Rattus norvegicus: one gene and its partner. The protein of the gene in region 1 interacts with the protein of each later gene in a pairwise test. Links are inferred from orthologs where the notes say so. Each region holds a gene or a part of one and is shown in the gene's direction. Other genes may lie near its edges.

The links.
Region 2: the proteins of Nr1h2 (region 1) and Npy interact in a two-hybrid assay, tested with the Homo sapiens proteins (3 studies listed by BioGRID and IntAct). The link is inferred for Rattus norvegicus from reciprocal best matches to the Homo sapiens genes NR1H2 and NPY.

Annotation. Positions count from the first base shown.
Region 1 is NC_086019.1:104,177,222-104,182,094, reverse strand, and holds the end of Nr1h2 (oxysterols receptor LXR-beta), read left to right. Parts: coding exon 1-254; intron 255-350; coding exon 351-610; intron 611-710; coding exon 711-890; intron 891-1,334; coding exon 1,335-1,434; intron 1,435-2,659; coding exon 2,660-2,868; intron 2,869-3,098; coding exon 3,099-3,245; 3' UTR 3,246-3,612; downstream 3,613-4,873. UniProt on the Homo sapiens protein: Nuclear receptor that exhibits a ligand-dependent transcriptional activation activity. Binds preferentially to double-stranded oligonucleotide direct repeats having the consensus half-site sequence 5'-AGGTCA-3' and 4-nt spacing (DR-4).
Region 2 is NC_086022.1:80,209,639-80,215,597, forward strand, and holds the start of Npy (pro-neuropeptide Y preproprotein), read left to right. Parts: upstream 1-2,472; 5' UTR 2,473-2,565; coding exon 2,566-2,568; intron 2,569-3,360; coding exon 3,361-3,548; intron 3,549-5,959. UniProt on the Homo sapiens protein: NPY is implicated in the control of feeding and in secretion of gonadotrophin-release hormone.

The DNA of each region.
Region 1 (4,873 bases):
GAAGAAGGGTCCGGCCCCGAAGATGCTGGGCCATGAGCTGTGCCGCGTGTGCGGGGACAAGGCCTCGGGCTTCCACTACAATGTGCTCAGTTGTGAAGGCTGCAAAGGCTTCTTCCGGCGTAGCGTGGTCCATGGTGGGGCCGGGCGCTATGCCTGTCGGGGCAGCGGAACCTGCCAGATGGATGCCTTCATGCGGCGCAAGTGCCAGCTCTGCAGACTGCGCAAGTGCAAGGAGGCTGGCATGCGGGAGCAGTGTGAGTGCAGGGGCGGGGCTAGACAGAGCGTGGGTCCTCGTCACGGGGAGGAGTAAGTGAGGGTGGGTCCCACCACTGAGGCTGTCTTTCCTGCAGGCGTGCTTTCTGAGGAGCAGATTCGGAAGAAAAAGATTCAGAAGCAGCAACAGCAGCAGCCACCGCCCCCGACTGAGCCAGCATCCGGTAGCTCAGCCCGGCCTGCAGCCTCCCCTGGCACTTCGGAAGCAAGTAGCCAGGGCTCCGGGGAAGGAGAGGGCATCCAGCTGACAGCGGCTCAGGAGCTGATGATCCAACAGTTAGTTGCCGCGCAGCTGCAGTGCAACAAGCGATCTTTCTCCGACCAGCCTAAAGTCACGGTATCGCCCCGCCCGGCCCAGTGGGCAGAGCCCACCCAGGCTAGGGAGGGTTTCTTGGGGCACACGAGTTCCCACGTGACCCTGGCCTTTTGTGTCCCAGCCCTGGCCCTTGGGTGCAGACCCTCAGTCCCGAGACGCTCGTCAGCAACGCTTTGCCCACTTCACTGAGCTAGCCATCATCTCAGTCCAGGAGATCGTGGACTTCGCCAAGCAGGTGCCAGGGTTCCTGCAGCTGGGCCGGGAGGACCAGATCGCCCTCCTGAAGGCATCCACCATCGAGGTACTAATAACGAGAACTAGGCTCTAGGACAGAGGTCAGAGCTGCATGTAGTCCAGGGACATCCTAACCCTCGTGGGGTGTGGCCATCTGGAGCCTCCAGTGAGCCAGCCACGGGGGGAAAGGGAAGTGAGCTGAGGTGGGAGTAATGGAGACTATGGGATGGACTGTCAAAGAGGAAATACGCCCCAGAGACTTGAAGGGAATGGATATTTGAGCCAACTCAAGGATAACTTAAGTTTGAGAGTCAACTGTGCATAAAGTTCTAAGTGCTAAAAGAATCAAAACTCTTGTACCTCACAATAATGTGTGGTTAATGTCCTTGGGTGGGGGCAGTGGGTGGTAAAGTTGGAGAAAGGAAAGCTAAGAATGTCTGGGTGGCAGCCAGTTGGTCTTGGCACATTTGACCTGGGGCAGCTGAAGAGCCCTGTACCTTGTCACCTCCAGATCATGTTGCTAGAGACAGCCAGACGCTACAACCACGAGACAGAGTGCATCACGTTCCTGAAGGACTTCACCTACAGCAAGGACGACTTCCACCGTGCAGGTCTGTGGAAGGCACTGGCTCAGTGTTAGGGTTTCTGCCCCCTGTCGGACCTCCAGATCAGGCACTGGCAAGAGAAAGATCATGTTTAGCAGGACCAGATGCATGGGGAGGCTTTGCTGTCCCCTGGCCTTCTGGCAGGAGATCAGGAAGAAGCACAGGCTGCTGATTGTCTCATGGGGAGCTCATCTGGCCACCTGTCTGATGGTGGGACAGGGCCCCTGCCCATGGCCAGCCAATGCGAACAACTTTTCTCCCTCAGCTTTCGGCTTCCCAGGACACCTTGGGTGCCTCTCAGTATTTTTAGGCACCCACTTCCACTCTTCTACTACACAAGAAGAGTCCTAGGATTCTTTCAGTGTGGCTTACTAGCAGGGCAGATTTAGGGAAAAAAGTGTGTTTTCCCTGTGATCCAGCCTGGGCAAAGGCCCTGCAGCCAGGCTTGAAGGAACCCCACGGAGCCCCAGGCATTCAGGCCTTGGAAGGTGGGACTGGAAAGGATCTTCGGCTTCCTACCCAAGCTCCTTCACTGCCTGGCCCCGGGCCCTCTGCTACTACCCTCCCATCACATCTGTCCCCCACAGCACGCAAGTGCCATGCCAGCTTGTCAGCTCCCGTATTCCGTCTGCTGGGACAGGACCTGGCCTCCATTCTCCTCTGTCTTTGTCGATCGTCTCTCCCAGGCACTGGGTGCCTTGCTGAGTCTGTGCCCATCAGCACAGTCCAGCATCAGGGACCAGCATTCACTGTCCCTTGCTTAGAACTGGGTGACAACTCCTATCTTGCCTGGAACCTGCCTACATGGTTTTGTTTTGCTTTCTTGGGGTCTCACTGCAGGCCAGAGTAGCCTAGAATATATTGTCCTTTATAGAGAAGGGGTTGGGTGTGATGGCAGTAAATACTCTTCTCCAAGGCCTGGCACACAGTAGGTACACTTAACAGTCCATGAGTGAATCATAGCATATTAGAGCTGTGGGAACTACCTAAGGGTTCACAGTGCCTTTCCTCCGCCCTCCTGAGGGCAGATGGGGGGACCTGAGAGGATGAGGTTCCAGTGTGTGTGGAAGGAAGGGTATGGGCGCTGTCTTGGTGGCATGGCTACTATGTAACAGTCACATGGTCCTATGGGGAGGAAGGCGGAGTAGCTGTCACTGGCTGTTCCTCCTTCCCGTGTGAGTGCCCTGGGACCAGGGTGAGGTGTGAAGCTGTGCTGGGGCCGCTCTTGCAGGCTTGCAGGTGGAGTTCATCAATCCCATCTTTGAGTTCTCTCGGGCTATGCGTCGGCTGGGCCTAGACGATGCAGAGTATGCCTTGCTCATTGCCATCAACATCTTCTCAGCGGACCGGCCTAATGTGCAGGAGCCCAGCCGTGTGGAGGCTCTGCAGCAGCCCTATGTGGAGGCCCTCCTCTCCTACACGAGGATCAAGCGGCCGCAGGTACAGGAGCTGGTGGGCTCGGTATTAGGGTCAGGTGGCACTCATTGGGGCACACTGAGCCTGGGGCCTGCCTTTTTCTCAGGTCCTGTTAGTGAGGTCAGCACACATGTCCCAAACCCTGGGCTGGGTTTGAGGTTGGCCTGACCACTCACAGCACTGGCTTGTCAGACAAAGCTGGCTCTGCAGGGCAGGGCCCCCTATAGGATCTACTTGCCTCCTCTTCCCGGCAGGACCAGCTGCGCTTCCCACGAATGCTCATGAAGCTGGTGAGCCTGCGCACCCTCAGCTCCGTGCACTCGGAGCAGGTTTTCGCATTGCGTCTCCAGGACAAGAAGCTGCCGCCTTTGCTGTCCGAGATCTGGGATGTGCATGAGTAGGGGCCGCCACAAGTGCCCCAGCCTTGGTGGTGTCTACTTGCAGATGGACGCTTCCTTTGCCTTTCCTGGGGTGGGAGGACACTGTCACAGCCCAGTCCCCTGGGCTCGGGCTGAGCGAGTGGCAGTTGGCACTAGAAGGTCCCACCCCACCCGCTGAGTCTTCCAGGAGTGGTGAGGGTCACAGGCCCTAGCCTCTGATCTTTACCAGCTGCCCTTCCTCCCGAGCTTACACCTCAGCCTACCACACCATGCACCTTGAGTGGAGAGAGGTTAGGGCAGGTGGCTCCCCACAGTTGGGAGACCACAGGCCCCCTCTTCTGCCCCTTTTATTTAATAAAAAAATAAAATAAAGTTCGAGTACAAGCCATTCCTGAGCCCAACGTGGAGGGGTTCTAGGTTCGACCACGAGGGTGGGGGTGGAGGGGTGGCGCTGAAGACAGGAATCTTTATACAGCATAGTTTGAGACACTAAAAGGACACTTACTTAGCTAGGGCCAGGTTTCCAAAGTTGGGGACTGCACATCTGGCCACGAGTGACATAAACAAGTCAGGAAGTGATTTGTGGGGCAACAGAAATTATACAGGAACCCGGGTGTGTAGGAACGGAGAAAAAAAAACTTAGCAAAAGCAGCGGGGTAGCACCCACTGTGGCAACCTTCCCACGCTCCTGCTGGGGGCGCTCGGGTACCGCAGGTCAAGCCGGCTCCCTGAGCCTGGATGCTGGGGGTGTGTCCTCGTGCCGTTAGCGTCACGGGGCGGGACCACTTGCGAGAGGCGTGGTTGTGGATCCTCCCTGGAAGGGACGTGGTTTGACCACCCTAGCCGGCCAGGGGCGGGGCCTAGCGGGCGTGCCTCAGCTCTGGGCCTGCGCGCGTAGGGTTCATGGGTCACGGCGGCGTACCTTGTGGCGGGAAAAGCTGTTTGACGCGGTAAGTAAGAAAGTAGAGTATGGGTTGCTCGTGCACGCAACTGATACCTCGAGCGGAGAGCTCGCGGGATATCCGCAGCTGGGGGCAGGTTAGAGCAGGGCTGGCAATGCAAAGGACGGACCCCAGGAGCTGAGGACCCGGGGTGCGCTGGTTTGTCCGGGTGTGAGCGCAAAGGCGTGCACGGGAGCCGGGCTGGAGGCGCGGAAGTACAGGGCACTTGTGTCAGCTCCCTGTACAAGAGGCAAGGCGACAGTATCAGAAAGTCCAGTAAGAAGTAGGAATGAACCGGGAGTAGTGGCGCTCTTTTATCCCCCACACTCGAGAGGCAGAGGCAAGCGATCCTGAGTTTGAGGCTAGTTTAGTCTACAGAGTTGAGTTCCAGGATAACCAGGGATACACAGAGAAACCCTGCCTCAAAAGCCCAAATTAAAAAAAAAAAAGTAGGAATGGGAGAAAAAGCAATGCCTCAACCTTTCCTTTTTCCTTAGTGCGCGCACGCGCGCGCCATGGTGCACACGTGCAGATCTGAGGACAACTTTGTGGTGGTGTTCTTCTCTTTCCACTATGTGGGTTCCCTATGATCTAATTCAGGCTGTTCAGCTTGACCAACAAGCTCAATTATCTATTCCGCTGGCACACCGGATGTGATGCTTTATATAATAAATAAAACAAGCAAATTGATACTAGAGAGGGCAGTCT
Region 2 (5,959 bases), on another chromosome or scaffold:
GCCGTGATGGGTATTAAAGAGACCCATATTGAAATTCTAAAGATGAAAGGTACATTGTCTAAAGTGCAAAAATCAAAGAATATAATTGACAAGGATCACATATTAGAAGAGGAAAAAAATGAAGTAACTAAAGATGTAGCAATAGAACTGGCCAAAATAGAAAGAAGAAAAAAATAAAAGAACAAATTAAAATAGACCGGCAGTGACCTGTGGGACAGAGCTCACGTCAGTTGATGACTTAATGTTTGTTTCCCTAGGAGAAGTGATGGCTTACATCAACACAGTGACTTATCAATCAATGCCCTTGCAGAGTTAGTCACAGCACAGGCTGGAAAGAACCTGGGGTCCAGGAGAAGCTGACTGGGTTCTTGAAGTTGAGGGGCGTCTTAGAATGGAAATGTGTCAACAGTACAGTATGTGCTGTTGACATTTGGGTGAGACTCAGCTTAAGGGTGTTGGATTAAAAAAAAATGAAAGCAGAGATGAGAAGCTATTGAGGAGCTGGGCTAGAAATGCTAACAACTCATGTGTCTGGAAACAGACCCATGGAGGACAGGGAGGAGCAGGGAGGAGCAGGGAGGAGCAGGAGAGCACTGTCAGAGGGATGTCACAAAGTCCAGGGGTGATGAACCTATATTCTTTATGGCTTCGTGAATGTGGATGTGTATCCGAGGGAATTTTTCAAACATTTGAAACTTCATAGTGTATTTTATTGAGAGTTAAGGAAAGCTATTACAATAAATAACCACGCATATAAATAAAAAGCCAATGAAGAGAGCTAGCAGCAGCTAGGAGACCGGTGCTTTGAATGACGTTTGGTTTTGTTTGTTAGAGGAGGGTTGCTTCTATGAGCTGCCAATGGTTACAGGAAACTGCGGAAGGGAGGGGTTAATTGATGGAGTGGTATCGGAGAATGACAGCATGTTAAGAGCCCAAGGCCAGATTGGACAAGGAGAAGAACAGGGTATAAGTGACATTCTGGGCACGCCCTCCCTTGACTTCATTTTCCAAATGCTGAAGGGAAAAGTTCTTGTTCTCAAGCACCAACATTATAAAGTAAGTTAATCAGATTCCCAGAGTCCCTTGCTCAAAAGTGGCACCCCTACCCCTACCCCCTCCGTGTACTTTCTCCCAGATTCTGTGACGCCTGCTGGACCCAGGTTTTGACCGATGTTACTCCCTGATTCACTACAACAGGAAGATTACTTTATTGAACAGCAGTGTGTGCCTTCCTCCTTACCAGAGCGCTCTTGTTAGATGCCTTTCTCTTAGCAAAGGTTCTCAGGAGGGCACAAGAGAAACTCTGACAGCTCAGTGTTTGTGGCCTGGTGCAGGTTTCTGACATAGGGAGAGTGCAGTCTTCCAGCTGCGAGGGATGGGATATTGGTGTTCAGGATTATCATTTGATCACATAGTGTCTCATATTCATTCTCTCTCTCTCTCTCTCTCTCTCTCTCTCTCTCTCTCTCTCTCTCACTAAAAGTTAATTCATCCCTATTTAAACAATGCACAAAGTGACACTTGAATGAAATCATTTATTTTAGCTTTGAAATAACGCTTTAAAACAAACTTTAGCTTTAAAATAAACTCCACTTTAGCAACATACCATTTTACCTAGATTCAAACTTCCAGAGGCATTAACTCAAGCGTACCTTGTAAAAATCCCCATCTGGTAAACATAATTTCAATATCGTTCATATTTATTCAACAGGTTTAACGCGAGGAGCACAGTGGCGTTGGTCTTTTAATCTGCTCCATTTCAATCTAAAAGCAAGTGTTCATTCGGGCGTTAGCCGAGAACACTCGGGACTTCACAAAGCTTACAGATAGGGGCTCGAATCGCTGCCACTTTCCGCTGTAGATACAGAAGCCTCCTGGACCGCCAGCTCCCCGTGGCAGCCTTGGGGAGTTTCTGGCTGAGGCCGAGCCTGGCTAGCAGCGTTGGGGAGTGTGCTTGGGGAAGGGTCCACCTTTGGTGGGGGAGACCAGTAGGTCCAGTAGGTCCAGTAGGTCTAAGAAAGCCGCTGGGGACCTTGCGGTCCGGGACACCTGCTCCGGGAGCGGGAAAAACCTTGCTCGACTGCTTCCCTCCCAGCGCTCGCAGTTGTCCCAGAGATGCTCCCCAAGTACAGTGTCTGGTCCCTACAGACCCGCGCGCAGACAGCAGGCAATTCCCGCGACAGGCAATCTAAGCGGTCCCTGCTTTATCTTTCTCTCTGGCAGCGGGACTCGACGGGGAGAAGTAAAGAGGGATCTGGGGGATGCTCACTCTTGGATGTTCCCTTCTCCTCTCAGAGCGGGCTGCCTGGAATTGGGGTGTGGGTGGCTCCAGACGCCGCCACTCGAGCGGCTGTGGCTCCAGCCTCCTCCCCCGCTGCTGGGGGCGGGAAGTGGCTGTGGGAGTCACCCGGGCGTGACTGCCCCCGAGGCCCCTCCTGCCGCGACAAGGGCGCTCCATAAAAGCCCGTTGGCGACCCGCTCTACGCATCCCACCGGTGGAGCTCATTCCTCGCAGAGGCGCCCAGAGCAGAGCACCCGCTGCGCAGAGACCACAGCCCGCCCGCCATGGTGAGTGCCAGGACCAACTGGGACAGCGGTGCGGGCCCCTAGACTCCCTTGAACTTGCCCTGCAGCCGGCCCCCTGAGCTTGTTCTGCCAACTTGACACCCAGCTCTTTGGGGCAGCTAAATTTCACTTGCTGGACTCTGGTTCGACCCTCCACCTGTCCTTCTCCGGAGCCCTCCTATCTAGGCGCTCCACCTCCACGCCGGTTATCTTTTGAAGGAAGGGAGAAGAACGTGGGGACACCTATCCCTGGGCAGCGGTGGGGTTTTGTTTGTTTGTTTGTTTAGTTGGTTACAACCAGGAATCCAGATTGCATGCGTGGTCCTAGAGGGAGATTCCCCCAAAGTATTTTCCCTGGCATGGGGAGCCCCGTGCCCAGTCACCTCCAAGATCTGAACTGAGCCTCTGGGTATCTGACTGTCACAGGATCTGTAGCCACACAGATCATAAGCGACTCAGAAGAAAAGTTTCTCCTCCGAGGGTGATTTAGGAACAAGAGGAGAAAAGTGGTCTTTCTTTAAAATAGAGGGCAGAACTTACAATTCTATTCTAAAAGGGGGCCCTCTGCTTCTCACTAGGAGCGTTGGAGGGAAGTTTCATGAACAATGGGGCGGAGCAGAGGGGCCAGGTCCGGGCAAGTGGTTCTCTAGGGCTCTGGAAGTGGAGCCTGCCCAATCTGGGCTTTTTTTCCTAGGGTCTGGGATGGGAATAGATGAGGGTCTAGAGTGGTAGCTGGAATCGGGACAAAGGCGAGCATTCTCTGCATCTCCAAGTCTGAGCCTTCTGTATCCACAGATGCTAGGTAACAAACGAATGGGGCTGTGTGGACTGACCCTCGCTCTATCCCTGCTCGTGTGTTTGGGCATTCTGGCTGAGGGGTACCCCTCCAAGCCGGACAATCCGGGCGAGGACGCGCCAGCAGAGGACATGGCCAGATACTACTCCGCTCTGCGACACTACATCAATCTCATCACCAGACAGAGGTGGGTGTATCCGCGGCTGGTATCTCGAGCCCCAAAAAACTGCGGTTCTGGGAATCTTGGACGCCAGAGACCATTTCTTTCTCCTTGTTCTGTCCCAGAATAGGACAGGATCCGGCATATATTCAGCTCTAGATAAATATGTGAGATGGGTACACACGCCACAAACTGGATACATTGTCTTTGTCACTAGACTTTCTCTCCAACCCCCGAAACTGAGATTCAGTACCTCTGGGCTGTGTCTGTCTCCCACCCACCTTTCCTGCCTCTTTTGCTTACATCAGTTGGGGACTTACCCAGCACCCTCCTTGGGAAAAGGCAGCATCAGGAGCAGGGGTGCAACAGTGTAAAGGTGTAACCTAATCTAGAGTAAACAACCACCCCCAAAGAAAACCAACGAGACAGTCCAGCTGTCAGAGAGTGGATAGACCTTCCAGCCTGCCCAGGGCAAAGGGAGTGGCAGCATTTAGGGAAATAAATAAATAAATAAATAAATGAGAGAGAGAGAGAGAGAGAGAGAGAGAGAGAGAGAGAGAGAGAGAGAGAGAGAGAACGAACGAACCATGGGTTTCTTCTGAACTATCTCAGCCCTACACTTGAAAATTGCTAGATGGTCTTAAAAAGCTGACTTCTCTCATTTTATAGCAATTGCGTTCTGAAAAGAAAGCGTCCCATGAAGAAGAAACAAAACAAAGCAAAGCCTTTCCGCTAAGGACTCTGGTGGATACAGACAGCTCCACTGGCTGGGGCCTGAGAGACAGACGGGGATCTGTATTTTTAATGTCCAGAAAGTGGAAGAGAGGTGCCTTGCCTTTCCTCTCAGCATTAAAATCAAACAGAAAAAAATCAAATCCAAGCTATTTTACAAACAATATGGGACTTAGTTTGCAAAGTCAGTGCATTTTAGTTCTAAATCATTTAACAACACATTTCAATTACCGAGAACCTTGAAGGATCATATAGGCAAACTCTTTGGAAGCATTAATGTTCTTTACTTAGCAAGTTTCAATTATGCATAGTAAATTACCAGAGAGAGGTTAAACTGCTCACCACCCAGGGGATGGTTGGATGGGACATAAAAGGGAGGTTGTGCTTCTGAAACAGTTTCGTACTTTTAATTTCACCAGAAAAGTATGTGGCATCCTGAAAGCCCTCTGGGGAAAACAACCCCAATGTATACAGAACCACTTAAGTAATACAGGCTCATAATCTTTTGAAATCTGACCATTTTCACTAGCAGAAAGCAATTGCATTTTTGAGCCTAATAAATTTCCAGAAAATCGATGACGTCAGTTTTTTTGCTCCATACAACTCAAAAAAAATTTACACAAATGAAATGATAGCATCTCTCAGGATTTATGCATGTATTTTATGTATATGAGCATTCTGTCTTAATGCAAACCAGAAGAGGGAATCAGATCCCATTACAGATGATTGTGAGCCACCATGCGATTGTGGGGAATTGAACTCAGGACCTCTGGTGGTTAAGCCAGTGCTCTTAACCACTGAGCCATCTTTCCAGCCACAACACCATGGCTTTTATTGTTGTTTGATTGTCTTGTTTGTTTGTTTGTTTGTTTTTGATTGGCTCGTTGGTTGTTGTTTTGTTTTTTAGATACAACAGATAGGACTCATTCTTTTTGCAAAGACTGCTGCTATATATGGCTTTGCCACAGTGTATACAGTGATGCCATTTCACATTTCTCCAGTCATCTCATTCAGTCTTTTCCTCCAAACTTTGAAGTGAATTTAATCGTCTCCATTCTGCAGATCACAAAGCTAAGGACATTTCAAGAAAGCTTTCTTAGGGTTATGGAACTGGAACCCTCTACTGAGTTCCCTTGTACGGGGCCACATCATTAAAATCCAATGTAACATCCACCATCTTTGAGGGAAAAAAACAGGGGAAGGGGGTTGCATGTCCTAGGAAGAAAATCTGGTTCAATGGAAACGAACCTGTGTCATCTTGGTAAAAGCTCTCTTTAGAAAACATTAGAAGCCCCATTGTACACTTGCTGACTTCCCACCAAAGGTTCACTCGAAGAAATCCAGGCCTTTGAAAATTACCGTGTCATTTGTGACGGTTTAATCTGTAATTCTTCTTCCTTCCTCCTGCCAGTCCTATTTGTAGCCGTCCTCCTGTTGCTGTGTGTGCTGCTGATTTGTTGCTTCTGCAGTCCAGATCACTCATTCTAGTCAATGGCTCTTGTTTGTGTGGTTCCTTGGAACAGGGTTCACAGGTGGGGGTGATTTTTACTCCCTAGGACATAGGGCTCTGTTGGGGGGAGACTTGTTGGCACAACCAGAAGTGAGTGCTACTGGTATACGCTGTTAGACATCCCAGGATGCTCAGTCCAGCTTCCCACTCCACACCCCTTCCCCAGCAAAGAGTCATCTTCCCTCAAGTGTTCCTA